Linked DNA regions of Ovis aries. The protein of the gene in region 1 interacts with the protein of each later gene in a pairwise test. Links are inferred from orthologs where the notes say so. Each region holds a gene or a part of one and is shown in the gene's direction. Other genes may lie near its edges.

Evidence for each region. The genes of interacting proteins can lie anywhere in the genome.
Region 2: the proteins of SF3B4 (region 1) and BAG3 interact in binary tests that used the Homo sapiens proteins (3 or more experiments, as listed by UniProt). The two-hybrid records come from large-scale screens. The link is inferred for Ovis aries from reciprocal best matches to the Homo sapiens genes SF3B4 and BAG3.
Region 3: the proteins of SF3B4 (region 1) and PPP1R16B interact in binary tests that used the Homo sapiens proteins (3 or more experiments, as listed by UniProt). The two-hybrid records come from large-scale screens. The link is inferred for Ovis aries from reciprocal best matches to the Homo sapiens genes SF3B4 and PPP1R16B.

What each region holds. Positions count from the first base shown.
Region 1 is NC_056054.1:100,030,645-100,041,260, reverse strand, and holds SF3B4 (splicing factor 3B subunit 4), read left to right. Parts: upstream 1-5,172; 5' UTR 5,173-5,209; coding exon 5,210-5,243; intron 5,244-5,689; coding exon 5,690-5,818; intron 5,819-6,049; coding exon 6,050-6,592; intron 6,593-6,911; coding exon 6,912-7,118; intron 7,119-8,092; coding exon 8,093-8,266; intron 8,267-8,461; coding exon 8,462-8,649; 3' UTR 8,650-8,875; downstream 8,876-10,616. UniProt on the Homo sapiens protein: Component of the 17S U2 SnRNP complex of the spliceosome, a large ribonucleoprotein complex that removes introns from transcribed pre-mRNAs.
Region 2 is NC_056075.1:39,303,663-39,313,693, forward strand, and holds the end of BAG3 (BAG family molecular chaperone regulator 3), read left to right. Parts: intron 1-1,747; coding exon 1,748-2,071; intron 2,072-3,878; coding exon 3,879-4,283; intron 4,284-7,512; coding exon 7,513-8,328; 3' UTR 8,329-8,888; downstream 8,889-10,031. UniProt on the Homo sapiens protein: Co-chaperone and adapter protein that connects different classes of molecular chaperones including heat shock proteins 70 (HSP70s), e.g. HSPA1A/HSP70 or HSPA8/HSC70, and small heat shock proteins (sHSPs), e.g. HSPB8.
Region 3 is NC_056066.1:67,708,558-67,718,589, forward strand, and holds part of PPP1R16B (protein phosphatase 1 regulatory inhibitor subunit 16B), read left to right. Parts: intron 1-1,085; coding exon 1,086-1,210; intron 1,211-4,482; coding exon 4,483-4,608; intron 4,609-5,147; coding exon 5,148-5,223; intron 5,224-5,838; coding exon 5,839-5,968; intron 5,969-6,060; coding exon 6,061-6,229; intron 6,230-10,032. UniProt on the Homo sapiens protein: Regulator of protein phosphatase 1 (PP1) that acts as a positive regulator of pulmonary endothelial cell (EC) barrier function. Involved in the regulation of the PI3K/AKT signaling pathway, angiogenesis and endothelial cell proliferation.

The sequences.
Region 1 (10,616 bases):
GACTCCTCAGTCTTCCATTAACTCTTCTCCTTGGTTCCCCAAGAAGACTGTTATTTGTTGCTCCTTAGAAGGCGGCTGGGGGGTGGGGGGTGCGCGGGCAGGAATTGGGAGTCTGCCCCCATAGTATCCCATGACCCATCACTCCCTTCCTCTAGGCCTATTGTTCTCTTCTCTTCCTCGCCCACCCCTCCAGGTCTTGTCTTCGAAAGGCCAGTGACATCTCAGTCTTAGTGACATCCAGGGTTCGCTCTGTAGTACTTCAAGGTGAGTTTCTTGGGCCAACCCACTCCATTCCTTGCCTTTTTTCTTTACTCACCTGACTGGATTCTGCTCAGGGAGGTCTAGAGTTTGCTTGTCCCCTTCCAGTGCTGGCATCCTCTCTCGTTTTGCTAGGAACTACTCGTGTTTCAGGGCTACTTCTGCCTCCCCATTAAGCTTGTGGTCCCTAACAGAGGGCTTCTCAGCCTTGTTCCTGTCCTTCCATCAGTGGATGGGGGCTTGGATTGGGGGCTGGGGAAGGAAAATGAGGAAAACTGGTTTGGCATTTGATTCTGCTTCCTACATGTGAAGCTGGGTATTTCTTGGTGGAGTGTATGAAGTGAATCACTCAAGGTCTTTGTTTTTTCTTCACTTTTATGTGCCCTCTCAATCCTACCTACCCAAAACTTTCCCCCTCTGTGCCTCTTACTTCCTCCTGCCATGTTTCCTTTTCTCACTCTCTTCTGCCCTAGTTTCTTGGTCTTTCTTTCTTTGTCCCTTATCTCTCTTTATCACCCAGAGCGCGGTGATCGTGATTTCAATGGCCTCCTCTCTTCACTCGTCCAGCTGCTTTCAGCCCCTGAAGCCCGAACACTGCTTGGCTTCCAATCATTAGTGCAACGAGAGTGGGTGGCAGCTGGACATCCTTTCCTGACCCGACTTGGGGGATCTGGGGCCAGTGAAGAGGTGAGAATGTTTGGGGAGGATGTTATTAAGAAGTAGAGGGATGAGAAAATGACATACTAAAATCCACTGGAGGTGAATTAGGTCCAAATTAGGTCTGAGGTTGGGCTGAGCTTGAAAGGAGATCCAGATGAGGGACCCCAACCCCCTACCTCAACTGATTTCCACCCCCTGACCTCCTTAGTGTCCCCATTCCCACGTCATTCATCCTCTCCATTTAAGTCCCCACACACCCTTCCAACCTCTTAATTTCCCTCTTCTCAGGCCCCAGTGTTTCTCCTCTTCCTTGACTGCGTCTGGCAGCTCCTCCAGCAGTTTCCAGCTGAGTTTGAATTTTCTGAGTTCTTCCTTCTTGCTCTTCATGACAGTGTCAGAGTTCCTGACACCCTTACATTCTTGAGAGACACCCCCTGGGAGCGTGGAAAGCAGAGTGGACAGGTCAGTGACTTCCATTTTTGGCTTTCCCCTACCCATTAAGTACTCTCTGGGAGTTTCCTGGTGGGCTAGTGGTGAGGATTCTGGGCATTCACTGCCATGGCCCAGGTTCAATTACTGGTCGGGGGAACTAGGATCCCACAAGCAGTTTAGTCAACAAAAGAACTACTCTCTGAAGTTTACCCTTGAATATGAAAAGTGGTCTGCGGGTGGGAAAGGGGGAGGAGGTTGGCGCTTTCTTTCAGGACTGGACTTTCACCCTACATCTGATTCTTTTCTTTGTGTGTGGCTGTGCTGGGTCCTCATTGCTGAGTGGGCTCTTCTTTCAGTTCAGTTCAGTCGCTCAATAATGTCCGACTCTTTGCGACCCCATGAATCGCAGCACGCCAGGCCTTCCTGTCCATCACCAACTCCCGCAGTTCACTCAGACTCACGCCCATCGAGTCAGTGATGCCATCCAGCCATGTCATCCTCTGTCGTCCCCTTCTCCTCCTGCCCCCAATCCCTCCCAGCATCAGAGTCTTTTCCAATGAGTCAACTCTTCGCATGAGGTGGCCAAAGTACTGGAGTTTCAGCTTCAGCATCATTCCCTCCAAAGAAATCCCGGGGCTGATCTCCTTCAGAATGGACTGGTTGGATCTCCTTGCAGTCCAAGGGACTCTCAAGAGTCTTCTCCAACACCACAGTTCAAAAGCATCAATTCTTCGGTGCTCAGCTTTCTTCACAGTCCAACTCTCACATTAGTTGCAGCAAATTCTCCAGTTGTGGTGCATGGAGTTCTCATTGTGGTGGCTTCTTTTGTTGTGAATGGGCTCTAGGGTGTGCAGGCTTCAGTAGTTGTGGCATGTGGGCTCACAGTAGTTGTGACTCCCAAGCTCTAGATCACAGGCTCAACAGTCATGGTGCTCAGGCTTAGTTGCTTCAAGGTAGATAAGATCTTCCTGGACCAGGGATTGAACCTGTGCCTCTTGCACTGGCAGGTGGATTCTTTACCACTGAGCCACCAGGGAAGCCTTACATCTGATTCTTAGAATAAGATGAGTTTCACGATTTATCTCTAAACTGGGGAGGATTATATATTTTTGTTTAACCTTCCTCTTCTTGTTTCCTCTGTCTAGTTCAACAACTATACACAAGTCTATACCCCTGGGTTCCCAGGGGCTGGGAACTCTATTAACCCACAACTATCTGTCTGGGACTGGAATTTACGCTACAGCAATAAACAAATACTACAATTCTGTAATCCTGGCTATAACCCAGAACACTGCCCAGATTCCTGGCTCCCTAGACAGCAGGTAAAGTGTCTGAAGTTCCTAAATTCCTTTGATTTTTTTCACAGGCTCATCCTACTAGATGAGGAGAGGTGATAGTGTCTGAGTTCCTCATTCCCCCTCTGGTGTCATTTATAGTCCTAACTGTCCCCAGGAAGACAGAAATCCTACAAATCACAAATGGCATCTTTTTTGGTCCTCCTCATCCTTATTAGTCTTCTTGTCTCATGCACACATTTTTATGTTTCCTTAAAATCAACTTTAATCAGTCCTGAGGCCTAGTTTGAAGTCTAATAAGGAGAGCAGATAAAGTGTTCTCAGGGGAAGGCTTGTAGTTTGATAACTGGTACAGTGTGCAGTGGGTGACAGCTGGACATTCCTTCATGACCCAGTTTGGGGAAACTGGGGGTCATCAGGTTTCTAAGTTGCCAGTTGATTTCCTGTTCCTCCTTAGCCAAGCTTCATGGTTCCTGGGCCCCCCAGTTCCGTGTGGCTCTTCTCTAGAGGGGCCCTGACACCCCTGAATCAACTCTGTCCTTGGCGGGACAGTCCCTCCCTGCTGGCAGTCTCCTCTCGTTGGCTCCCTCGACCTGCTATCTCTTCTGAAAGCCTGGCTGATCAGGAGTGGGGGCTCCCCTCACACTGGGGAGCTTGCCCTTTACCCCCGGGACTGCTGCTGCCTGGATGTCTGGGACCCCAGATCAGGCTCTGGAGACGCTGCTACCTGAGGGGAAGGCCTGAGGTCCAGGTGAGAAGGGAAGGCAAAAATTGGGAGTGGGAGAAGGGGTCTGACTTTTGAACCAGATGTTCTAGGAGAAACCAGATGTTTCCAGGAGCAGAAGGGCAAGGGTTTGGGGGACTGGGAAGTTAGATACCATTCCTATTGGTATCAAAGCGGATAGATTTGGGAGTGTGGGAAAACTGCTTCTGGCTTATATCAAGTGGAACCTAGGGGATAGCTGGAGGAGGAAAGGGAACTAAGAGAATTAAGGATCCTCTCTGCCTCTCTTCACCCTCTTCCCAGATGGGCCTCTCAGCTCCCACAATCTCTGGTCTCCAGGAGGAGCTATCCCATCTTCAAGAGTTATTAAGGAAATGGACACCACGAATATCTCCCGAGGATCACTCCAAGAAAAGAAACCCAAATACCATTCTCTCCCAATCCCGTTGAAATTGCTGGCTTTCTCATGGGCAGGGCAGAGGGTGGTCTGGGGTGAGGGAGAGTTTTGTCTAATCCTTCGGTTTTTCTTATCTGGTCTTGCTGCCTCAGCTTTCATAAACAAGATCACTGACCTGAGTTTCTATTGAGGATGAGTGGTGCTAACCTTATCCAACTCTTATCCTGCCTTGTTTGGTTTAAACAGTTCTTATCATTTGAAGAATTAAGAAACAACAACAATCCAGAAGACTGCCTCTCTTTTTCAGGGCAATTCCATGTCTTTGGGATGGAAATTTTGGATATTGCGCTGGTAAATTGTGATAATCAGATATACTGTTTATCAGTGCCAACAAGATGGCCTACAGACCTCCTTCTCACCTCCTCTTGCTGCTTAATTCCAATTTCTATTTCTTCCCTTATAGTTTTCTATGGGTATGGAATATACACAGGACACCCTATCTCTTCCAATTATATATTTTCATTGTGACATTTCTATTTAAGGAGTTCATTAAAGCACAATATTTATACACGCCGCTGGCATTGTTTGTGTCTGATTAAAGGAACCTTAGGTAAGGGAGTGGTGGGAGAGGAGGGAAAGGAATGTGACCCACGAAGGGACGGTACCGACCATATTACTGCTAAGGAAGTAAGGGGCTGGGCTGCGTGAGGCGCTGCAGGATTCACAATTTAAGGTCCTCTCTTCCGTGTAGACAGGGCAAAGGCACGCCCAGAGGTTGCTGGAGTTCAGGGTGTGCTCTGAAGGCCTCGGCCTCGGCCTCGGCCTCGGCCTCTGGGCTTCAGTATCAAACCCCCGTAAACTTCGGTACCACCCCACCTCCGAACCTCAGGTTCCCCTCCTATGCAGTGACTAGGCGAGCTCAGACATTCCACAATTCCTTCCCTGAGGAAAAAGGAAATACCTCAAGCTCAGGCCTGGGCTGTGAGGCCGCGTCTGTTCAAGGACTGCGGGTTGGGATGGACGGTTCTCCCCACGCCTTGCGTTGAGCGGTTCCTCTGTACACCCTTCTAAGGGGGAAAAAAAGGCTACAAAACACATGAAAACTAAAGTTTTGTTCTCCCAGCTTCTGAAGTGACAGTTTCGGGAGCAGTGTGACCCTTTAACTTCTAGCACTGCCTTAAAAGAGACAGAACGTTTCCTTTTCACTTTCCCCGCCGCGTCCGCTCATAGTAGCACTTCTGCACGGGAGCGTGGACCGAAGCGCACCGCTACTTCAGCCGCTTCCAGTCTCAGCGTCTCCTAAGATGGCCGAGGCCGCTTCCGGCTCCTCCCCTGCCGCGGCCCCGCCCACCACCTCACGTCAGCCTTCGCCTCGGAAGCGGAAGTAGTGACTGAGGTCAGGGGGCGGGATCGCTGCCTGGAGACGGCGGGAGCGCTTTCGCCATGGCTGCCGGGCCGATCTCCGAGCGAAACCAGGGTGACTGGAGGGGACAGACCCAGAATGGACTCTGGGGGTTTGAGGGACCTCGACTAGGCCCAGCAATGTTTCCGCTGGGGCGGGAGATTTTGCCTTTCCGAAGGGCGCCAGACTGGTCCCGATGCCTTATGGGGACGGGATGGACAGACTTGAGGCCTATAGTTGTGATGCTGTGTCCAGTCCTCTGCTGCCTTCCCACTCAAAAAAAAAAAAAAGAAAAAGAAAAGTTACAGAGTGAACTTGCACCGTCACTCTAAATTAGACATAAGATTGTCTATTTTCTGGAAAGGAGGAGCTTCTAAAAGCTTAATCTAACATCTTTTTGTTTTTTCGCTTTTCTACCCCATCTCCACGTCCACTTCCTCCGCCTGGGTTCCATCTTCATGTTCCCGTTACCTCCCTATTTCCCCTCATCTCTGTCCTTACCTCTTAATCCTGTCTTCCAGATGCCACTGTGTACGTGGGGGGCCTCGATGAGAAGGTTAGCGAACCACTGCTGTGGGAACTATTTCTCCAGGCAGGACCAGTAGTGAACACGCACATGCCAAAGGATAGAGTCACTGGTCAGCACCAAGGTGAGTACACGGCAAAAAGTACAGTTATCTATGAAAGGGACAGACTGCTCCTGGAGGTCTCCAGTGATATTAAGTTTTGGAGTGAGCAAACTAAAGATTTTGTTTCTGGAACCATTCTCAATTGAAGTTGGGATTATTATTTCTTATCCTTTGTGCTTTAGAAGACAAATGAGTTATAAACTCGTTTTTAAATCACTTCAGTTGCTAACCTCTTCTTTTCCACTTCCCCAGGCTATGGCTTTGTGGAATTCTTGAGTGAGGAAGATGCTGACTATGCCATTAAGATCATGAACATGATCAAACTCTATGGGAAGCCAATACGGGTGAACAAGGCATCAGCTCACAACAAAAACCTGGATGTGGGGGCCAACATTTTTATTGGGAACCTGGACCCGGAGATTGATGAGAAGTTGCTTTATGATACTTTTAGCGCCTTTGGGGTCATCTTACAAACCCCCAAGATTATGCGGGACCCTGACACAGGCAACTCCAAAGGTTATGCCTTTATTAATTTTGCTTCATTTGATGCTTCGGATGCAGCGATTGAGGCCATGAATGGGCAGTACCTCTGTAACCGCCCAATCACTGTGTCCTACGCATTCAAGAAGGACTCCAAGGGTGAGCGCCATGGCTCAGCCGCTGAAAGACTTCTGGCAGCACAGAACCCACTCTCCCAGGCTGACCGCCCTCATCAGCTATTTGCAGATGCACCCCCTCCACCATCTGCTCCCAATCCTGTGGTATCATCATTGGGATCTGGGCTTCCTCCACCAGGTAAAGCTTTTGATAAAAAATGTTTGTGTTGGGTTGGGAAGGGTGGGGCCAGGAAGAAGGAAAAATAACCTGGCAAGGAGAGGACATTGAGTCATTAGGTGATGAGAAAGGGGTTGAGGGATGATGATTGTGGTGGGAAGAAAGTTGTTGAGTTTTCTCCAGAAGGTTGTTGTTCAAGTCACTTAATGTTGCCGCTGACTTCAGAGAGCTGGGAGGAGGGGAAAAGAGCTCATTCGGCCTGGAGAGGCCAGGGTGGAACAGGCTCTCTAAAGGCACTCTCTGCTCACTATCATTAACTGTTTTTCCATTTTCTCTATAGGCATGCCTCCTCCTGGCTCCTTCCCACCTCCAGTACCACCTCCTGGAGCCCTTCCTCCTGGGATACCCCCAGCCATGCCACCACCACCTATGCCTCCTGGGGCTGGAGGACATGGTCCCCCATCAGCGGGAACCCCAGGGGCTGGACATCCTGGACACGGACACTCACATCCTCACCCATTCCCACCTGGTGGGATGCCCCATCCAGGTGAGCGTTCTTTGCTGGGAAGGAGAGGGATGAGCTTGATGGAGGAGCTCTGTCAGCACTTAATGCTGCTGTTCTTTGTCCTTTAACAATAATAGATAGTGCCCAAGCTCTCCTTTCTTTCAGACATTCTTTTAGGAAAAAAATGCAAGATACTTTACCGTTTATTTTAACAACCATCATGCTGTCTTCATTTCTTGTTTAAGTTTTACCAAAGAGAACAACAGGCTCTCTGCATTGGTTCTTTACCACTAGCGCCACCTGGGAAGCCCAGGCTCTCCTATCCTCATTATTTCACACCTAATTTATTTTAGTAATACCCTAACTGACACTTTGACTCTAATTATCTCTACTTTGATTGACTATCTCAGAGTAATTTTTCTTAAATACAGATATTCACACACCTTTGCTCAAAATTCTTCTGGTTGTTCCTTTTTACTTACAGAGTGAAACCCAAACTCGCTATCATAGCATTCTAGGCTTTGCATAATCTGGCTCCTGCCTGTTACTCCCATGACTACAAGCTGTTCTACTGGGTTTCCTTTAACATACTGTGCTGTTGATCACATCCATGCTTTGCACCTGCTGATTTTTTTCTGCCTGGAATGTTCTTTTCCCACTCTGTTGTCCACCTGAAAAATTCCTGTTCATCCTTTAGAATTAGATCTTTGCTGTGACAGTGTCTCTGTTATCTTCCCAGATTCTATTCAGTAGAATAATCACGCCATTCTGCAGCACTGTTACAATGCCTAAATCATGGAAGGAGCAAATGGGCTTCAGGGACTGGGGAGCTGTAGGGTAGTTGGTTGATTTATTCTCTTGGGATGGAGTCAAAGATAAGGGCACTTTTTACCAGCTTTAATTTCTGTATTCTATCTGATGTCACTTTCTTCATTTTCTTCTCTGTCTTCTTTGCCCTCCTGTCTTCTAACTTCCTTTTGTCTCATTTCTCACTGTGTCTTGTTTTGTTCTCATAGGGATGTCTCAGATGCAGCTGGCCCACCATGGCCCTCATGGCTTAGGGCACCCCCACGCTGGGCCGCCTGGCTCTGGGGGGCAGCCACCACCCCGACCACCACCTGGAATGCCTCATCCTGGACCTCCTCCAATGGGCATGCCCCCCCGAGGGCCTCCGTTTGGCTCTCCTATGGGTGAGTAGTCTTTAGCCACCTCCCTCATCCTCACATATTGTTCTTGCAGCTTGTTTTGTCACACCTCTTATCCCCTGCACTTTCTTTTCTTCTCTTTCTTTTCACTATCTCCCAGTGTATCCTCTCCTTACATTGTCCCAATATGAACTGTCTCCTATTCCTTGTTTTTACTTTGTTTTCCTTTTTTACCTGCAGGTCACCCAGGTCCTATGCCTCCGCATGGTATGCGTGGACCTCCTCCACTGATGCCTCCTCATGGATACACTGGCCCTCCACGACCTCCACCCTACGGCTACCAGCGGGGGCCCCTCCCTCCACCCAGACCTACTCCCCGACCTCCAGTGCCCCCTCGAGGCCCACTTCGAGGCCCTCTCCCTCAGTGATTTCTCATTGTTTTTCCTCCTGTTGTAGCCTCCCAATATCTATTCACTTCCTTGGACCAATCAGAGTTGCTATAGCTCCGAGGGGCTAAGGCACTAATCCCTCTCAGGCCTTTCTTTTGTAAGTGTAATTTTTTCACAGGAGGCTGTATTTTATTTTATTTTTTCCTATGTTGGCCCTAAGTGTTTTACAAATACCCAGAGAAAATTAAACTAAACTCCTTGTTTATCGTTTGTGGTGCTTAACTTGACAGAATAACTTCTTTTTCTCTGAGAAGAGATGTCCGTATATTGGGAGAAGAACGGTAAGGTAGGAGTGAGGGTGTTTATTCCAAGTTTTAAAGACTTACTCTATAATGTGCTATTGCAAATGCTGGACTGCTGTGTACTGCAGCACTTGATTCATTACATCAAAGTTATACATAAGATGAAGACCCAGTATCTACGGCATAGTTGTTGTGAGTACTAAGTTAGAATAGAAGTAAAGTTCCTAGAAATAAGATGGCAAAAATAGGAAGTAACATGCACAAAGCTATTCATTGCAGCACTATTTGCAATAACAGATTGGAAACAACTCTCATATCAGTCAGTAGGGGACTGGTTGAATAAACTGGTAAATCTATACAGTAGGATACTAAGCATCAGTAAAAAGGAATGAGGGAGACTCTACACACTGATTGGAGAGATCACGAGGCTATATTAAGTGAAGAAAGTAGCATGTAGAACAGAAGGCATAATGTGCTTTCTTATCTAAAGGGTGACACATAATGTATGTTGTACATTTGTCTCTATTTTAAAAATGAAAGGATAGGGCTTCCCTGGAGCTCCAGAGGTTATCTGCTTCTACTGCAAGGGCCACAGATCCAATCCCTGGTCGGAGAGCTAAGATCCCTCATGCTACACGGCCAGAAAAAGGAAGGATAAACCATAAACTAATGGAAATTGATACCCACTGGGGGAAGGGAAGGAATATGGAGGGAAACTGGATTTCTCAAGTCCAATACTATGTTATTGTGGAACCATGTATCTTAAATGGTAGCAAAGTAATTGCAATGGGACTGTAGGAACTCAGTAATCCTTCATTTTCTTTTGTTCTTTATACTGCCAAATATCTTGGGTAAGGGGTTTGTATCTTATTCCTATTTCCTTTCTCCTCAGGCCTTCCAAACCTGATTTCCATCATATTTAAATCTGTGCTTAGACTTTAAGTAACTAGATCAAATCCAATGGCCTATTCTTTCCTTTGCCACATTTAATCCCGTTATATCATCCTCTTCTCCAAAGCTCTTTATGGCTTATGTAACCACGAACTTTCTTAAACTCCAGGCAAGAAAAGGTAAGCCTGGCCCTCTTGTTCTTTTGCATCGTTCTCATTCAGGTAATATCGTACACACAAGGACTCTGCTGGTGGCCACTGAAGATACAAAGATGAGCAGGGCAGTTCTGCTGTCTGATCATTACCAGGGGGTTGTGAAAGTGTTAGTCGCTCAGTTGTGTCTGACTCTGTGTCCCCATGGATCATAGCCCACGAGGCTTCTCCGACCATGGAATTCTCCAGGCAAGAACACGAGTGGGTTGCCATTTCCTTCTCCAGGGCATCTTCCCAATCCAGGGATCAAACCTGGGTCTCCCACCTTGCAGGCAGTCTCTACCGTCTGAGCCACCAGGGCAGTAGACTGATATATAAGAGATTATTATGAAACAAAATATTTTGAGAGCGGAAGGAAGGGTATCCAACCTGGCTTGAAAGTCCAAGAAAACTTTCTGGGAAAATGATAGTTGAATGATCTTGAAGGTTAGAAGCTTCTCAGACTAAGATGAAGGGAAACTCATTCCAGATCTGTGGGATGCTTCTGAGCAGAAGTAAAAGACTGATAAATAGCATAGTCTGTAATGTGCTAAAGCTAAAGCTGTTCAGTGCTGGAGGCAGGATGAGGTCAGAACCAGTCAGGGAGTGCCCAAAGATTAGT
Region 2 (10,031 bases), on another chromosome or scaffold:
AGCCCTCTTTAGGAAACCCCACCCTACTAGAGAAGCCCAGGTGGGCCCCTGTGCTCTCCAGGCGGTCGTCCTGTTTGTTCCACGCGGCCCTGGCCGGCAGGGATTGAGCCTTGCTGGTTGTGAACCATCGTACCCAGTAGCTTGGGAGCAGGCTGTTCACCAGGGGCCAGCCAGCGGACGAGGGCTGCTAACCTGCCCATCTCTGCTCTAGTGCGTGGCCAGGAGGAGGCCAGCAGGGACACCGCCCCCCGCACTTGTCCAGGCTCCGCTCCAGGCTGGAGGGATGGTGCCCCAGGGCGAGGACGAGGTGCCTAGCCGGCCTGTGATGAGTCAGCACCCAGCAGCACGGGCCTCCTTCAGCGCTGCTGCTGCCTTCCTTCTGGTGCCCGTCTCGTGGCAGGAATGCGCTTCTGAATGTGACGCCTGGACCCACTCCCTGCTCTTGGATGACCCGAGAGTTAAGCAGGCTAAAATAATGCCGCCACCCTGAGCACGTGGGTATTCTAATCTGAGAGTACCGCCTGTCTGCCGATGTCCCCAAGGACACGGCAACACTCGGGCCTCTCCGAAGTGCTGGGAGGCCCACTGGGGTGGCGAGCTCAGCAGGAGGCCAGAGAGAGGTTCACAGGTCTGAAAGATCTAAGGTCCAGGGCTTGCCCTCCTTGTGACCAGCTTCGCCCCAGCGGGAATAGAGCCTCAAGCCTTCTGGTGTTTGCCATTCAGGGGGATGCCTCGTAAGGAGGCATAATAGCTTGTCCACTTGGATCCATAGAAGTGGCACGAATCCTCAGCCCCCTCCTCTGTGAAAGGACCCTCTAGTGCTCAGGAGATGGTCAGGACAGAAAGCCGCAGGGGTCCCTGGCTTCAGTTGCCCAGCCTTTGCTTGGTGAGGAGTGACATTGCCTGGTGAGTGACTGGCCAGCCTTGTTGTCTGAAACAGGATCTTTCTCTGTGGTACATCTGGAACTTGGCCTTCTCAAGGGTCCCAAAATAGCCAGGCCACTGAAGAGAGAACTTCATGAGAGGACGTAGGAGGGACCCCAGCCGCTCCTCGCCAAGCAGGCTTTGTTGGCATCACAAGACCAGCACAACTAATCCCCGGGTTTTGTTCTCATCCTGTGCTTCTTCTGCATTCCTCGGGTATCTCCCTTTCTTGCCGCTTGTTCTGAAAATATTCCTGAGGAGGCTGCCTGCCCGCCGCTGCCCCTTCTCTGCAGATTTCTGAGCTGTAGCCTGTGTCGAGGGTCCCCCGCGAGTCTGCGTTGTCAGGAAATGTGAGGACCGTTTAGGAAGCCGAGATGCCGGCTGTAATCCCCTTAGCGAGTTGGCATTGAATCCTCCTAGCATCTTCTGATCTGGGTCTCTGAAGGTTTGGGAGGCTGTCGGGGACTCCGCTGTATGCAAGGCTGCCTTGTCATCCAGAACAAAAACCTGTTACCAGCTGGGGAAACTGGGACTTCTCCTCTGCGCCACAGATAACCTTGCTCGTCTCTTTCTTTTTCTTGATGCTTCTCATTCTTAAACTGCTGGGCCAGCAGCAGCTTCAGCAAGGGAGGAGGGGTCTGGAAGAAGTAGGGGATCGGGGGAGGTACCCACAGTTTCTGTGCTCAGCTGTCCTTGCTCCTGGCTGGCACCGTGGGGCCCAGAGTCACTCTGAAAGATCAGAGCATGTGGCATTATGCTTTCTCCTCCTCAGGGCTGTTTCCTTCTCAGTTTCTAACAGGTCTGTGTCTCCTCTCACTTTTAGGAAACCGCATCCTCTGCAAATGGGCCTTCGCGGGAGGGCCCCAGGCTGCTGCCCACTAGAGAAGGTCATGCCGTGTACCCTCAGCTCCGGCCAGGCTACATTCCCATCCCCGTCCTCCATGAAGGCGCCCCGAGCCGGCCGCACCCTGTCTTTGCCTACTCCCAGCCCGGGACACAGCGCTTCCAAACCGAGGCTGCTGCAGCAGCTCCCCCGAGATCCCAGTCACCCCTGCGGGGTGTGGCGGAAGCGAGCCAGCCGGATAAACCGAGTGCACCAGTGGCAGCTGCTGCAACGGCCCAGCCTCCAGCTTCCCATGGACCCGAGGTAAGGAGAGGCCTGGCTCACAGGCCGATATGACCGTGACCTGTGTGGGCAGGGGGAGGGATGGCGGGGAGCTGGGTTTCATGCTTCCTGGGCTGCCCCAGACCACAGATGACACCAGACCCTCATGACAGCTCCGTGAAATGTGGGGTATCGGGGCCTGGCCGGCATCACACAGCAAAGATAGCTTGCTGACAGCCCCATGTCCCCCCAGCATTTCACAGGCTGGTTTTTCTGATGAGCAGAGATTGTGGTTTGTTTCTGAAGCTCAGGAACTGGGGCTCAAGAAGGGGTAAACAGCTTGGTCCAAAAGCATAAAGTCGGAAGTGGCATTGCAGGGCCTGAAAGCCTGGCCTTTTGGCTCCCCCTATGACACCCCTCATTCCCCCTGAGCTTTCTGTGTCGGAAACACAGAGAGACTCTGTGGCATTTCACTCAGTTCAGTGTTCACGGGTGAGTGTTAACTGCTCGGAGCTATGCTGACGTGAAAATGAGACCACATGCCTGCCCTCACAGTGTCCACCGTGTAAAACAAAGCATAAAATAATATTTTCAGGCTTTAAGTCTGAGGTCAGCATTTCCTTGCACTAACATTTAAAGCATAGTCCTTAACCTGGTTCTTAGCTGAGACTTGAAGGCCAGTCGACCCCAGGAGGTACACTGAGCCATAGGCCCTCTGGGTTTTCCTGTCAGCACACCATCCCGCTGTGTCCCCCGCACTGCTCTTGAGCAGAAATGCTCACTCCAGGTGAAAAACATAGTTAATGGAGGCGTCAGGTGGTGCAGTGGTAAAGAACCCGCCTGCCAGTGCAGGAGAGGCAAGAGACGTGAGTCGGATCCCTGGTTTGGGAAGTTCCTCTGGAGAAGGAAATGGCAATCCACTCCAGTATTCTTGCCTGGAAAATTATATCCACAGAGGAGCCTGGTAGGCTGCAGTCCGTGGGGTTGCAAAGAGTCGGACGTGACTGAGCACACACTCACACAGGAGGCACTTTCCCTTTCTTGGAGAGGCAGTACCTGCATTTGTAATGTTTTTGTTGTAAAAATCAAAAGTGATGCGTCAGAGAAATCTTCACAAATTTAACCTAGCAGGGGCCTTAGAAGCCAGCTGGGGAAACACTCTTCTGCTCTTCCAAAATAGAAAGTAGGCGGTCAGGAAGGGAGAGAGGCCTGGCCTGCCTCGGTCCACATGGGGACGTGGTTCCTTCCTGCTGCCCCCTGGGTTCTTTGAGGATAAGCAGGAAAAGAGTTCAGGAAAGCGGAAATGAAGTGACAACAATAACTAAAACTTAGTGAGCACTTCCTGTGGGTGGTGCTGGTGCCAGACACACCCACTAATTCTTTTATAGAACCTTCAAGTTAGTCAGGTGAGGAGGGGTTACTCTTTTCTATACTTCAAAAGCAGCTCATTAACAGTAAAGAATCTGCCTGCAATGCAGGAGACCAAGATTCAACCCCTGGGTCCAGAAGATCCCCTGGATGAGGGCATGGCAACCCACTCCAATATTCTTGCCTGGAAAATCCCATGGACAGAGAAGCCTTGTGGGCTTCAGTCCATGAGGTCGCAAAGAGTCGGATGCAACTTAGCGACTAAAACAGCAAAGCTATCGGGCTGTTGAGAATTTGAGCCCAGGCCTCTTGACTGCTGAATTCCCCATCTTACCAGTACATGTAGACACTGGAAAGGCTTAACAGGTGGGAGGTTGTGTTAAACCTGCCACCCTGAGCAGGCATGTACAGGGGGCAGAGTCAGCAAGCCAGGCCAGGGGGATTCACAGGGCCATGTGGCTGTGTGTTCTGTGTCTTGCAGCGGTCCCAGTCTCCAGCGGCCTCGGACTGCTCCTCGTCCTCCTCCTCAGCCAGCTTGCCCACCTCCTCCGGCAGGAGCAGCCTGGGTGGTCATCAGCTCCCCCGGGGCTACATTTCCATCCCTGTGATACATGAGCAGAACGTCACCCGGCCGGCAGCCCAGCCATCCTTCCACCAAGCCCAGAAGACGCACTACCCAGCTCAGCAGGGCGAGTACCAGACGCACCAGCCCGTGTACCACAAGATCCAGGGGGATGACTGGGAGCCCCGGACCACGTGGACTGCATCCCCCTTCCGGCCTCCCGTCCGGGGTGCGTCCAGCCGGGAGGGCTCTCCAGCCAGAAGCAGCACACCGGTGCCACCCCCGCCATCTGTCCGTGTGCAGACCACGGTCGACAGGCCTCAGGTATGGGAGTTGATGTCGCAGATGGGCTGGGGTGGCATCTCTCCAGGGCCGGAGGAGCTCTGTGCAGGTGTCCTGGGTCCCCTGCCCTCATCAGCCCTTCCTGGGGAGACCGAGATCCTGGAACAATGCTGGTCACCAGCAGAAATGCGGGTGAGGGCTGTGAACCTCTGGTGCCTTCTACAGCTTTTGCTCGTTCTTTGTTGCAGCTGCCTCAGGGGCAGAGTTCCAACCACCGTGATGGGGAAAGGTGGGCAGAGCACAACGTCACATATCTGGGGCCCAGGTGTCCTCTGCCCATCATGCCCTGCCACACCCCACTCCCACTCCAGCTGCAGCCTCCATCTCCTGCCTCACGGATACCCCTTCTGCACCCTGCTGGCCCTTTCATCTGTTGTCTCTTCTCTTGTTTCTTTCCTCACACTGAACCCACTTCCTGAGATGCCTCCACAATCTAAACTTTTCCCATCCTTCAGGGGACAAGCCGGTCTTGCGGCTTCCATGCAGCCTCCTCATCTTTTCCCAGGGTGCCTAGTCTCTTACAGCTCAGCATCTGATTATTCTATGCATTTCGGAAGTGTTCATCTGCTCTCTTCAGCTCTGCTCTGACCTTGACCACAGGCAGCATGTCTTACCCTTTGCAGTAAAGGACCGTGTTGCCCGGCTGATGCCCGGCTGGCTGGGTGGCTGGGAAACCTTCCCGCCTATCTGGTGAAAGTCACAGGCAGTGCCCGTTTAACCTTCGGTAGAGGCATGCACTAGCTTTCCAGGTGGCACTAGTGGTCAAGAACCCAGCTGCCAATGCAAGCGATACAAGAGATGCAGGTTTGATCCCTGGGTGAGGAAGATTCCCTGGAGGAGGGCATGGCAACCCACTCCAGTATTCTTCCCAGAGAATCTCATGGACAGAGGAGCCTGGTGGGCACAGTACATAGAGTTACAAAGAGTCGGTCATGACTGAAGCGACTTAGCACAGCACACAGCACAGAAGTGTGCAGGCACTGATCCCTGGGGGAAGCAGTCTTCTAGTTTTAGAGCCGCAGAATACCCAGCAGTCAGGGCCCCTCAGCTGCTGAGTGAATTCTTGACCACTGTTCTTAAAAGGAAAGCCCCCGTTAAACAAATGGAGGGCATCTTCTTCCTACGAATGGGGACACTGTCCAGGGCCCTCTAACAGAGTGCTTTCCTGTTGCTGGCTTTTGTTTTTGTTTTGTTTTTGTCTTTTCTATTTGGAAATGATTCCAACCTTACAGGATGGAAGTCCAGTATACATAAAGGTCATGAAAGCAAAGATTCAGCCATATTCACTGTTTACATTTTACTCCATTTGCCTTGTCATTTTTCCTCCCTCCACATATTATGTATATTTTTGTTTGAGATTTAGTTATAAATAACATGCCCCTGTACCCCTAAATATGACAGCAGATGTTTTCCTAAGAGAGCTACCTTCTCATTCATAACCACATTAGAAATATCAGATGTAGGATGGTTAACATCCTTACGACATTATTGTCTCATACACGGTTCATTTCCACATCTCCTTTAGAGCAGTTTCCCCTTTGTTCTAGGATGTAGTCTAGGATCATGAGCACTGCATGCAGGTGTCGTTTGCCTTTAGTCTCCTTTAATCTGGATCAGTTTCTCAGTCTTTTTCTGCTATCATGACCTTGAAAAGTTTTGGAAAAGTACAAGCCAGCGGGCTCACCCCCTCTTAAGTGTTTCTAAAATCACTTACTCAGCTATTGCTTTAAAGTCCAAGGAGAGGCGTGTGGCTAGTTCATGAATGCTAAGGGCCAAAGTTGAGGACTTCTGGTTGGCAGAAGAGATTTGATGGAAAAGGAGGCTAGTGGTGTTCAAATAGCCAAGCGTCCATCAGATCCTTACTTAAACTCAGTAATCCTTTCAAATGGGAAAGAAGTGCTCATTTGCAAAGCTGGCAGTGTTTCCTCTCATATCTTTCCTATATATTTTGTGTAACTGGTGAAACAATATGTAATCCTATTTCCGCTTAATCTTACTTGTTTGTAGTGGCCTACCTTTCACAGCTTGTTCAGAGATCCCATGTTGGAGGCTTGCAAAGATTTGACCTAATGAATATTATAGTGGGATTTAGTGTTTTTAATATGGAGTACTTTACAAGTGTTATCGTCTAACTCCTGTTTCCCAGTTGATGAAATCAGAGTGTGTGAGATTTTTTTAAGAGGGTTTTAGATATTCACTTGAATGTTGCAGGCATAGTTCATTTTTTAGAATACGCCTGTAGCTTATAGTCACGTTAAAGAGTATCTCACGTTAGAGTATCTCAGTCACGTTCAAGAGTATCTCAGCCTCTGTAGCCGTGTCGTCAGTGTGGAGGTGCTGCACTGTGCCAGTATCAGCTCTGGCACAAATGTGTCCAAGCAGAAGTCTTATAGGGTTACCCGTTTGGGGCATCTTGCTTATTCTCAAAAAAACACATCAGTCTGGGCAGAAACCACAAGGCTGTCATAGGTTTAAAAAAAAAAAGACGATTATAACTTTGCTGAAACAGGAGCTGGGAAGGTCACACCCTGAGCAGAGACTGTCACACAGAAGGGGTCAAGTGGCAATGATTACTCCACGGCTCCATCCCCTGATAGTCAGTCACCCAGGACTTTGCTTTGAGCTAAAGTGACTCGGGAGTCAGCATGAGTCTGGGGTATTTTCCTTTTTGAAAAATCATGTTGGTTTTCTTTTCATTGCCATAAGAATTCCATCTCCAGAAAAAGTCAGTAAGAGATAGCAGACTGAGAGCCCGGGGTAACAAACGGAAGCATGACAGTGGTTTGGGTGCATATAAGGCATGTGTGCTGGTCACGCTAAGTCTCTCGGTCATGTCTGATTCCTGGGGACCCCATGGACTGTAGCCCGCCAGGCTCCTCCGTCCATGGGATTCTCCAGGCAGGAATACTAGAGTGGGTTGCCATGCCCTCCTCCAGGGGATCTTCCTGACCCAGGGATCGAACTCACGTCTTTATCTCTTGTGCATTGGCAGATGGGTTCTTTACCACTAGCCCCACCTGGGAAGCCCCATAATACATGATGAATACCATATTTTATTGTTATAACTGGTTTCAGTTGACTTTGAAAATCTCTTTTATACTGTTAAACTTTTTAAAAGTCGTTCCCATTTCCTTCTAGTCAGTTCTAGCTACAAATGACCACCTGTGACTCAGCCGTTAAAATTGTCTGTGTCCTTGCCTCTTCCCCACAGCCCATGACCCATCGAGAACCTTCGCCTATTCCCCAACCTGAAAACAAGCCAGAAAGCAGGCCGGGCCCAATTGGACCAGATCTCCCTCCCGGACACATCCCGATCCAAGTGATCCGAAAGGAGGTGGATGCTCAACCTGTTTCGCAGAAGCCCCCACCTCCCTCTGAGAAGGTGGAAATAAAGGTTCCTTCCGCTCCTGTGCCTTGTCCTCCTAGCCCCGCCCCTCCTACCATCCCCTCTGCGGTCCCCTCTCCCCCTAAGAATGTGGCTGCAGAAGAGAGAGCAGCCCCCAGTCCTGCCCCTGCGGAAGCTGCACCCCCTAAACCAGGAGAGGCTGAAGTGCCCCCAAAGCATCCAGGTGTGCTGAAAGTGGAAGCCATCCTGGAGAAAGTGCAAGGGCTGGAGCAGGCTGTGGATAACTTTGAAGGCAAGAAGACGGACAAAAAGTACCTGATGATAGAAGAGTATCTGACCAAAGAGCTGCTGGCCCTGGATTCGGTAGACCCAGAAGGACGAGCTGATGTCCGCCAGGCCAGGAGAGATGGGGTCAGGAAGGTTCAGACCATCTTGGAAAAACTTGAACAGAAAGCAATAGATGTCCCGGGTCAAGTCCAGGTTTATGAACTCCAGCCCAGCTCCCTTGAGACCGATCAGCCACTACAGGAGATCATGGAGATGGCTGCAGACAAGAGCAAGAAGAGTGCTGGAGACGGAGAAGACTCCAAAACCGAGACCCAGCCGCCGGAAGCCAAAGCAGCAGCAGCTCCAGACCCCAGCGGCACAACAGACACAGCTGCTAACCCGGCAGCACCGTAGTCTCCGTGAAGTGAAGGGTCAGCCCTGGAGACTGGGAACTGATTGTGTGCTTTAGGGAATTAGAAGTTGCATGCATTTCAGGGACTTAAAATCAGTTGGTTTTTACTCTTCATAGCCGCTGGGTATGCAGTAACTTGGGTGGAGGCAAAACACACTAATAAAAGGGCTAAAAAGGAAAAAGATGCTTTTCTTGTGTTCGTATTCCGTACAAATAAAGAAGTTGCTTGTTACAAGTTTAATAACCCTATAGCTTGTTGTTTTGAAGCCTTCTCTGTATGGGCCCCACGTGTTAGCCATGGATGTGAACTGTCTGTCTAGCTCTGGATCGAGGGAGTCTTTTTCGGCTGGGGGAGTAGATGGGGAGTCAGTTTCTCATCACTAAATATGAAGCCCGTTTTTCAGAAATGTTGCCATTTTAATGGGATGATTTTTGTCATCTCATAGCTATGATACTTTCGATAGAATAAAATGTGTAAGGAGCCATAGAAATATCTGTATGTGGGATGACTTTAATGCTATGTGTAAAAAAAAGGAAAATAAAGTAATAATGTAACTCAAAATGTCTTCTGTGGTTTCTGAATTTTGAAGAGTGGCAGCATCAAGATAGACTTGCACTGGCTTCAGGAAAAATAAACAGCGGGTGCATTCACAAGCCTGCTCTGGGATTTGTGACGTCCCTACTGGTGAGATGAGAAAAGGAGTCTTGGTCATTTTTCTGTCTCAGGTCGCAGCTGGAACCTGGGAAGACCCAGGGCTGTAAACCCAGGTAATGGGAATGTGCCCATCACACCTCTCTGACTGCCCCAGCCGAGGTTCCTCTCTGCCCACCTGGCCCCAGGCCACCTGCAGGCCTCACCAAGCAGCTGCATGGGTTCAAAAATGCACAGAGAAACCAGTTCCCAGTATTGCCTGAGGTTGGCCCACGCCTTCCTGGAGTCCAGGTCACTGGGGCTTGGGCACGTGTTCTGTGAGTGTCTTGGGGTCATCTTGATCTGACATTTCTCTGAGTCACCAAGCCAAGCTGGGACCAGGTATATCTTCGCAGATTGGGTTCCTCGAAGTCACTGGGGTTAGGGATCAGATGCACTAGGAAGCCACAGGAGGGGAAAGGATCTTTCTGGACTAATGTATTTTAAGAGCTTGGGAAGTATCCCAGCCCCAGAATGTGGAGATACGTTTTGTCACATAAGTGGAAGTTGAGAAGAAAGAGAAAGATGGGCCTGAGATCTCAGAGCTGTGAGGAAGCTTGCTGACTTGAGTCCCTGAGCTGAATTCCTCATGACTGTATTGAGTTTAATATTGGTGCCTGACAGTGCTGCACAAAAATACACTCCGGTGTGCTTGCCACTCAGCTTGATGAGAAAGGCTGAAGTCATTCCCATGGGAGTCCGCCAACATCTTTACGTGGTGAACTCATTTGAGGAGTATAAGCTGACCGCTAACAACAACACTGATTCTAGAAACACAAAGTGTGTAAATAGAAAAAAGCCTTCTGGACTGTTTTTTTTACTAGATGAATCAATGTAAAGAACGTGACCATCTTTTTGATGACTTGGGCATCTATGCTCAGTTCAGTCGCTCAGTTGTGTCCGACTCTTTTCGACCCCGTGGACTCAAGCATGCCAGGCTTCCTTGTCCATCGCCAACTCCCTGAGCTTACTCAAACTCATGTCCATCAAGTCGGTGATGCCATCCAACCATCT
Region 3 (10,032 bases), on another chromosome or scaffold:
GTGAAAATACCTATAGTTTCTGTTGGTGACAAAGTCATGGGCACTGCCAATTCTACTATGAATTTAGACTAAAAGGAAATGCTATATCTCATTGAAAAGTTAGTGAAAGTAAGACTTCTCTGGTGGTCCAGTGTATAAGAATCTAAGAATGCACTGGCAGGCAGGGGACGTGGATTTGATCCCTGGTCCAGGAGGATTCCACATGCCTCTGAACAACTAAGCCCGTGTGCACCAGAGCCCCTGCTCCCCAACACAAGAAGTCATCACATTGAGAAGTTTAGACACCAAAACTAGAGGGTAGATCCCACTCGCCACAACTAGAGAAAGCCCACACCCAGCAACAAAGACACAGCACAGCCAAAAAGAAACAAACAAATAAAAAATTAGTGAAAATAGATCATTCTTTTTCTCCCTTCAAGTTTACAGACCTCCCCTGAGTTCTATCCAAGAATGCTTGCTCTCATTGACCTTTTTTTCAGAGCAAATCACTCTCTCCTTAGTAGCTGCCAGTAACACTTAAATTTTAGCTAGAGATTCAGGCTTGAAAATGTGTTTCTGAGTCCCTCCACCTCGATTTATTCAGCTCTCCATTCAGAAGTGATATATTCAGTAATTCAGTTGTGGCTGTAATAGCGATTCACTGAGCGTGCCTGGTGCTGCAAACACAGCTGTGGATGAAGTGGAAGAAATGAACAGAGACCTGGTCAGATACAGTGGGCAGGGGAGGCCAGCTGAGGAGGTGATCCAGGCTGGACCTAAAGGATGAGACGGAGCCAGGAATTTGAGCAGCTGGAGGTGGGTAGGTGGGTGGTCGGGACTGCCAGGTAGAAGAGCTGTGTAACAGTCATTGATATTAATACAGCGCCAACTGGGTTCCAGGCTCTTGTTCGTGGCCCAATATGTGGTGTTCATTTTCACTGGGCCTGGGAGAAATGATCTCTGAGCGCATCTGTTTACTGCCTTGACTGGCAGACCCTAGGAAAGAGGAGTCATACCTCCCTACCTCTGCCCTCCCTCCCCTCCCCCATGGGTTCTCTGCCTGGGAGTGCTGACTCAGTGCCACCCCCCCCCCGCCCCCACTGCAGGCATCACCCAGGAGAAAATCAACGAGATGCGGGCAGCTCCTGAGCAGCAGATGATTTCGGACATTCACTGTATGATCGCAGCTGGCCAGGACCTTGACTGGGTAGATGCCCAGGGGGCCACACTGGTGAGGAGAGGGGCCAGGCTATATTGGACTGGGGGGTTAGGACCAGAACTCAGACCAGCTGGAGCTGAATGGGGAGGTCCAGTCTACACAGAGGGGGCCTGTCTGTAGCCTTGGACTTCCTCCCCCTTTTGGGGACAGGGTTCTCTCTGGAATGTGGAGTTAGCAGAGCAGGGATCAGCTTCTTTGAGAAGCTGGGGCTGGGAGTTGGGAGCTGTGGGTTGGGGAGGCTTGGCTCTGCCATTCACCTCTTTGTCTCCAAGCTTCTCCTTTACCTCACGTTGCAGGTGTCCATTCTGAGTTCATTATTTCCACCTCCTCCCATGATGTCTCCTGCTTCAAGATGAGTGCCACATTCATCCACTCATCCAGGCCATCTTGCTTTGCACTATTCATTCTCCTACCTCAATGTACCCTCTCCCACCTCAGTGCCTTGTTTCATTGTCTGTCCCTGATGTTGCTGCAACAGCCTCTCTTCTGGTTCCCTGACGTCAGAGCCCAGACACCCCAGGGACCCATCCTGTGGTTCACACATCCATCCATTGGTCCTCCCATCCATCCATTGGTCCACCCATCCATCCATCAGTTTACCCATCCATCCATCGGTTCACCCATCCATCCGTTCACCCATCCATCCATCGGTCCACCCATCCATCCATTGGTTCACCCATCCATCCATTGGTTCACCCATCCATCCATTGGTCCACCTATCCATTCTTTGGTTCACCCATCCATCCATTGTTTCAACCATCCATCCATCGTTTCACCCATCCATCCATCGGTTCACCCATCCATCCATCGGTCCACCCATCCATCCATCGGTTCACCCATCCATCCATCGGTCCACCCATCCATCCAGCGGTCCACCCATCCATCCATCGGTTCACCCATCCATCCATTGGTTCACCCATCCATTCTTTGGTTCACCCATCCATCCATTGGTTCGCCCATCCATCCATTGGTCCGCCCATCCATTCATTGGTCCACCCATCCATCCATTGGTTCACCCATCCACCCTGTCAACATACACATCCTCTGTCCCACATACTTTACTAGACATTAGAGATAGAGAATGATGGAATCTTCTCTCTCTCTATCTGCCTCATTAGCTTCACTCACTGTTTCAATTCAAATGTCAGTGAAACCTTCTTGATCTTTCTTCATAGGCCTTCATAGCATGATACAGCTCAGTATTGGGGAAGTCTGCTTCTGCAGCCTCTAAACTGAGAACTAGAACATGGCCTTGGAAGCCCCCCTCAACCTTGCCCATGGCTGGGCCCATCCTGTTCTAGGCTTGGGGTCCATGTGATTGTGAGCACTCAGGGTCTCAGAATCTTCAGCTTTTCAGGTAGGGCTCAGCAGTACCAAGTTCCCTCACTGCCCCTCAGGCCTGACCTGGTAGCCCAGATGTGATCATTGGACTTCTCCCATCCCGTTCCTGAGTCCCACCCTCTGTCTCATCCCCCTTTCTTTTTTTTTAAAATAAGACTTCTAAAATTGATTATTGGTTTATTTCAGTGACATATAGTTGCTTTATAATATACTAGTTTCAGGTATATGACACAGTGATTCAATATTTTTTATAGATTATACTCCATTAAAAATTATTACAAGATAATGGCTATATTTTCTTGTGCTGTACAACATACTTTGCTTATTTGTTTTAGTAGTTTGTGCCTCTCAGTCCTCTACCCCCATCTTTCCCCTCCCCCTTCCCTCTCTCTGTTAGTGAGTCTGTTTCTGTTTTGTTACATACATTCGTTTGTTTTTTAAATTCACATGTAAGTGATAACACAGAGCATTTGTCTTTGTCTTCTTTCATGAAACATAAGGCCCTCTTGGTCCACATGTGTTGCTGCAAATGCCATTATGTCATCCTTTTATATGGCTGAGTAGTATTCCATTGCCTGTATATACCATACCTTCTTTATCCATTCATCTGTTGACAGACACTCAGGTTGCTTCCATATCTTGACAATTGTAAATGATGCTGCTATGAACACTGGGGTGCCTGTATCTTTTTGAATTAGTGTTTTCATTTTCTTTGGATATATATCCAGCAGTGGAAGTAGTTCTCTTTTTTAGGTTTTTGTGCCTCCTGCTCTTTTCTAAGGAAGGGGTCCCTGCTCAGCCCAGCACTCAAGAGTTGAGTCAGGTAGTTGGATTGAACGCTGCATGAAGACTGGACGAAGTTTTGGCCAGGCTGTGCCAGGACACTGCCCGCCCTGGATGGGGCTCCGTTGGGTCTGTGGCTCAGCCCTGTAGACACAGGGGTCTGCTCCTCTTGGGCTGGCCTCAGAGCGGCTTCACTCACATGGCTGGGCACACACTAGGTCTCAGTTCTTCCCAGTGAAGCAGGGAGGCGTACCTTCCCCAGGGGGCTGTTGGGAGGACTAAATGAGATTCTGCATGTAGCTGCTCAGCACAGAGCCTGTAAACTCTCAATAGATTCTGGTGATTAACTCATTATTATTATTAACATGATCACTTCTATTTATATAATAAATAGCAAGGTCCTACTGTGTAGCACAGAGAACTATATTCAATGTAATTATAGTTGTAATCCTCTGTAATGGGAAAGGAAATCTGGGAAAAAATATATGCAGGTGAATAACTGAATTGCTTTGCTATATACCTGAAACATTGTAAATCAACTATACTTTAGTAAAACAAAAAATCAAAAAACCCACCAATATCACTCTCCCAGTCATAACTTTTTATTCCCAGCTATGTATGTGGCCCTACAGTTTTTAATGTCTGGCTGGCTGTGTGTCATTCTTAATAGCTGGCAAGCATCAAACATTTATAAATCAGATAGTGATACCAGTTTTCATGTGTGCCTGTTCCAGATCATACCCTGTTTTTTTTTTTTCTTTCTGAAAATTAAAAAAAAGAAAAAAACCCAAAACCTCTGTTTGCCAGAAACTTATAGCAACCTGACCCCCGGATGACGCGGCATCTGGCCATTAGGGCTGTGTTCTGTTGGACCTCTGAGACCCCATCTACAGGGCTCAGTGCATAGTAAGCACTCAGTAAATGCTGATGCCTTAACGACAGGGGCTTGAAGACGGAAGAGAAGCCCCTTCTCCCTTACCTTCCTTTTCCATACTGCAGACTTACTAATGCTCTGTCACGTGGCTGGTATCTTCACCTCCTTCTATTCCATTCTACGGCCCTAAATATGATCTGGGCCTTGAGCCGGGGAATGGGCTCTCCTGCTTCCAAATGAGGGACCAGCCCCCGTGGGGAGTGCTGACCCCTTTCCTCTCCTTCAGCTGCACATAGCTGGAGCCAACGGATACCTGCGGGCAGCCGAGCTCCTCCTGGACCATGGTGTACGCGTGGATGTGAAGGACTGGGATGGCTGGGAGCCCCTGCATGCGGCTGCCTTCTGGGGACAGGTAGTTGTCACCCACAGTGCTGTAAGAGAGGCCAGCTTATGGCCAACCTGCTGACCTTTGGGCTGGGAGTTGGTTCAGAACACCCGACCCATTTAGGGTGTTGACTACAGCTAGCGTGTAGGATGTGAAAAGACCTACGGAGTTTACAAAAAGGATTGTCAAGTTGTGTCCTAACAAGATGACAATCCAATTTGCCAAATTAGAAAATTTCCCACATTTCTGTCTTGAGTTTTTCCACTTGTTTCCCAGATAGAAATCTCTGTAGCTTTCGCCATTCCTCTTTAAACACTTGACAGCTCTGGAGTTATAGCTGACTCCTTCTGTCCCTCGGTATGGCTGAGTCATGCTGGAGGAGGTGTCAAGCCTATTGCATTTGCCGGAGTTCCCGGCTTTAGGGAGCAGAGCCTTCCCTGGGAGTCAGCTTTGCCCTACCATTCTTTGGATCACATCCTAAGAAGCTTTGAACTCTCACTCTCTCCGACTCCTAGGCTTTCTCAGCTGTGGGCAGGGGGGAACCCGGGCTTCTTCCTGTGTTTCAGATGCAGATGGCAGAGCTGTTGGTGTCCCATGGGGCCAGTCTCAGTGCTAGGACATCCATGGATGAGATGCCAATTGGTAAGTTCAGAAGGACCACGCCTGCACTCATTGATTTTTTTGATGAGTGGAGGATAAATGGTTGAATATATGGTTGGATAGATGGTAGATGGATAGTTTGATGAATAAATTAATGGGTGGTAGATTAATGGATGGATAACTGGGTAAATGTATGGATGAATGAATTAAGAGGATGGGTGGGCAGAGGATGAATCTATGGATGACTGGTTCAGCGAATAGGTAGACAGATGAACTAAAGGATGAGAGGGACTGAGTGGGTGGGGATATATGATTTCAGGCTCTTTTCATAATGTCTTGCTTGGGCTCTGTGGGGTACCTTCTGGTTTCTCTTGATATATTTTCTATCAGTGGAGAATTGATGACTCCTCTTGGAAGCGATCAAAGGTGTATGAATCCTTCAGTCATATCTGTGAATTGGGACTGTGCATGGGACCTGGGGTTTCCTCTTCTTACACTCCTCTAAGGATTGGGTTGTAGCCCAGGAAATAAGGCTGGCACTGCTTTCTTCCCTCCAACCACACCCCAGAAGATGTGAATTTTCAGTGGGTCTGGGGGGCCCTCGGGGATCACCAGCCCCTTCTCTGCCCCCTACCATGGACTCCTCCACCCTTTCAGACCTGTGTGAAGAGGAGGAGTTCAAAGTCCTGCTGTTGGAGCTGAAACACAAGCATGATGTGATCATGAAGTCGCAGCTGAGGCATAAATCATCTTTGAGCAGGAGGACGTCCAGCGCGGGCAGCCGAGGGTGAGCTGGGGGCGGGACAGCCAGGGGCGCCCAAGGATGCTCCTGCCCATGGAGCCTGGAAGCAGCCTCCCAGTACCCCCCTCTCCCCTTAGGAAGGTGGTACGTCGAGCCAGCCTGTCCGACAGGACCAACCTGTACAGGAAGGAGTATGAGGGAGAGGCTATACTCTGGCAGCAGCGGAGTGCATCCGAGGATCAGCGGAACTCCACCTACAACGGGGACATCAGGGAGACCAGGACAGACCAAGAGAATAAGGACCCGGTGAGAGCTTGCCTCCCACCCAGCCCCAGTGAGCACTGCCGTGGGAGGGGAACGGCTGGAACCCCAGCCTGGCGTTGCTTCTTTATTTCAGAGCCTTCGGAGGGAGGTCAGCTGGCCATCGCCCTTAAACCAGCTGGGTCCTGTCTGAGGGGGTGCCTACCATGGTTATTGAGGCAAGTGTAGGACGTGTTCACGTCAGAGCTGGGTGATTGGCACACAGTAGGGGCTCATAACTGCCAGGGAGTGAGTGATCACCATGTGCCTGCTTGAGCTCCAGCAGAAGAGAGATTTTATTCTGGCTTCCCAGAGGAAAAGGTTCAGTAGGGCGGCCACTCTGGGAGAGAAGGGTGTTAAAACTTTTTTAGGGGAAACCTAACAAGATGTTGAGAATTGTGTTGAGATATCGGGTTGGAAGAAAATTTTTGAAAAATATAGGGGCTGGCTATAGAACGTCTAAGAAGCTGGCTCTAGGAGTAGATAATGATCTGGGCATTAAACCGCTTTCCTAAGATGCTGTATTGTTTTCTGAGAACTGTTGTAATGAATTACCGCAAACTAGGTGGCTTGAAGCGAGAGAAATGTCTTTTCTCCCAGTTCTGGAAACCAGAAGTCTAAAACTCAAGTTGTCTACAGGCTTGGTTCCTTCTGGATATCGGAAGGGGCCTCTGTTCCATGCCTGTCTCCTAGCTTCTGACATCTTGGGCATTCCTTGGCTTTTTGCTATCGTGCCTCCAATCTCTGCCTCTGTCTCCATGTGGCCTTCATTGTGTACGGGTCTGTCTCTATTTTCTCTTAGAAAGACACCAGTCATTGGATTAGGGCCCACCCTCGTCCAGTGTGACCTCATCTTAATGTAACTGATTACACGTGTGAAGACTCTACTTCCAAATAGGGTCACACTCAGAGATGTGGGGTGGATGTGAGTTTCGGGGGGACACTATTTGACTCAGTACAGATGCATTCAGGCCCGTGCCTGGCTGCAGTCTTGCTGAGTAGAATATGCAAGTTTGGGGCCAGAGCAGAACTACTGGGCACAAGAAGGAAGGGGCTGACCATACCAGCAGTGGTGTACCTTTGTGGTTCTACCATCACACAAAGAGCAGCTGAAAACATTTCTAGTTCCTGTTGCTTGGGGGGATGCAAAATGTCTCAGTGGGACCCTGCTTCCCTGTGTGAACAAGGAGGTCATGTGAGGGCTTGTCTTGCCGGCAGGAGTGAAGGCATCTGCTCTAAAGAATCTCCATTGTGAGAGGAGTTTGGAGGAGAATAGATCCATGTATATGTCTAGCTGAGTTCCTTTGCCGCCCACCTGAAACTGTCACAATATTGTTAATCAACTATACTCCAATATAAAATAAAAAGAGTAAAAACAAAAAGAGGGACTTACCTGGTGGTCCAAGGGCTAAGACTCCTTGCTCCCAGTGCAAGGGACCTGGGTTTGATCCCTGATCAGGGGATAAACCACAGCTAAAGACCCAGCGCAGCCAAATAAATGTTAAAAAGAAAAAAGATTCGATGCCAAGTGGTTTTTTTTAAAAGAGAGAATCCCCACTGAAACGCCGATTGGGATGGAGCCCGCACACTCGGAGCTTTTGTTCTGCCCCTGCCCACCTAAGCTTGGGGGTTAGGAAAGAAGAGCTGTAGATTGGAATCAAATCCCATTTCAGATGCTTCCCCGATATGCTTTAATTCTCTTTTCTTTGTGATTGAGGTGTAGCTTCTATAACCTACAGAAATCTTAAACGAATTTGTCAATGACCTCTTTCCAATGAGTACACGCATTTCTGTCACCCCAGAAAGCTCCTACGTTCCCTTTTCCAGGCAGCCCTTCTACCCCACAGATATGAGTGTGTGCTTAGTCACTTCAGTCGTGTTCAACTCTTTGGGACCCCATGGACTGTACAGCTCTCCAGGCTCCTCTGTCCGTGGGGATTCTTCAGGCAAGAATACTGGAGTGGGTTGCCATGCCCTCCTCTAGGGGATCTTCCCAACACAAGGTTTGAACCCAGATCTCCCGCATTGCAGGCAGATTCTTTACTGTCTGAGTCACCAGGGAAGCCCAGCTCAACCTGGTGCTCTGTGATAATCTAGAGGGGTAGGATGGGGGGTAGGGTGGGAGGGAATTTCAAGGGGGTGGGGCTATATGCATACCTATGGCTGATTCATGTTGATGTCTGGCAGAAACCAACCCAACATAGTAAAGCAATTATCCTCCAATTAAAAGAGAAATGCAGGTTCTCAGGCCCCACACGAGATAGACTGAATCATAAACCCTGGGGCTGGGACTCAGCACTCTGTGTTTTAACCAGCCCTCCAGAGGATTCAGATGCATGCAAGAATTTGAGAACCACTGATCTAAGGGTGTGTTTGCTCAGCCTGACTCCCAAGTCAGATTTCTGACAGAACTCTGCACTGATAGCCCCCAGGGCTGGCTGTGGTACCCACTTTTGGCAGAGCTGACTCCCTGATAGCAGGCACAGCCGTGATAAGACAACCCTGTCTCTTCAACCAGTGGTTCATGATCTAAATTGTACAAGAAAATCACCTTGGGGAGGTGTTTTGTTTTTGTTTTTAAAAAACTTGATGTCCGGACTATAATCTCAGTTAATTAAATCAGTCTCCAGGCTTCGGACTCAGGCATTGTATTTGTTCATTTATTTATTTATTAACAAATAGGCTTTATTTTTTTGGTTTATTTCTAGGTTTACAGAAAAATAAGTGGGGGGACTTCCCTGGGGTCCAGTGTTTTAGCTCTGTGCTTCCACTGCAGGGGGCAGGGACTGGGGGACTAAGATCCCACGTGCTGTCCTGTGGCCAAAAAAAGTTTTTTGTGTGTCTTTTGACCTTGTTTATAGTGATTTTTGGTATGCTTTATATTTTTGTTACTGTCAATGTATCCACCTTTTCCTTAGAGTTTCTAGGTAGCACCTCCTTTTAAAGCTCTTGTTACCCAGGGATTTCTGGGTGTAAAAGATCTCTGAGTAAGAACCTCTCCCATTTGGAGAAGAGCTATCCCAGGAATATAGGGAGAGGATTCTCAGTGACCAAAAAGCCCAACTAAGATTGACTTACAGACGCAAAAAGAATGCACTGGCTTGGTTAACTGGAAAGTCTGGGCCAACTGGATGCGGGGGCTCAGAACATATCATCAGGGGACTTCCCTGGCAGTCCAGTGGTTCAGCCTTCACCTTCCAATGCAGCGGGTCTGGGTTAAATCCCTGGTCAGGAAGATAAGATCCCGCATGCCTCGAGGACAAAAATCTAAAACATAGAAACAGAAGCAATGTTGTAATAAATGCAGTAGAGACTTTTAAAATGGTCCACATAAAAAAAAATCTTTAAAAAAGAAAACGTATCACGAGGGTGCAGTGTCTCTGTCTCATGCTCTCTCTTCCTTAATGTTGGTTTCACAGCCAAGCAGACCTTTTAACGCACTGTCTCCCCAGTTTATGATTCTCACCCCTGCAGTTCCTATAGAAACAGAGCTGCTCTTCCCCAGTTTTTCTAGTTTTTCTAGTAAGTCCCAGGGTTGAGTTTCATGGAACCAATTTCTGAACCCATTCCTGAACCAATTCCAATAGTGAGTTTATTGATTGGCCAGGTCCTGGGGTTATGGTTTATCTCCTGGAGCAAAGATGGGAGTCAGTTGGGTCTGTCAAAACCCACAACTGGTGAGACTCCCCAAAGGAAAACGGAGGTCTTATTACCCAGGTAGGGAAAATGGAAGAGGATGGTTTCAAGCAATCATGCCCTCAGTAGAGGCGCAAGCAGGGTTGGGGTTCAGATCCCCCAGCCGGCTGATG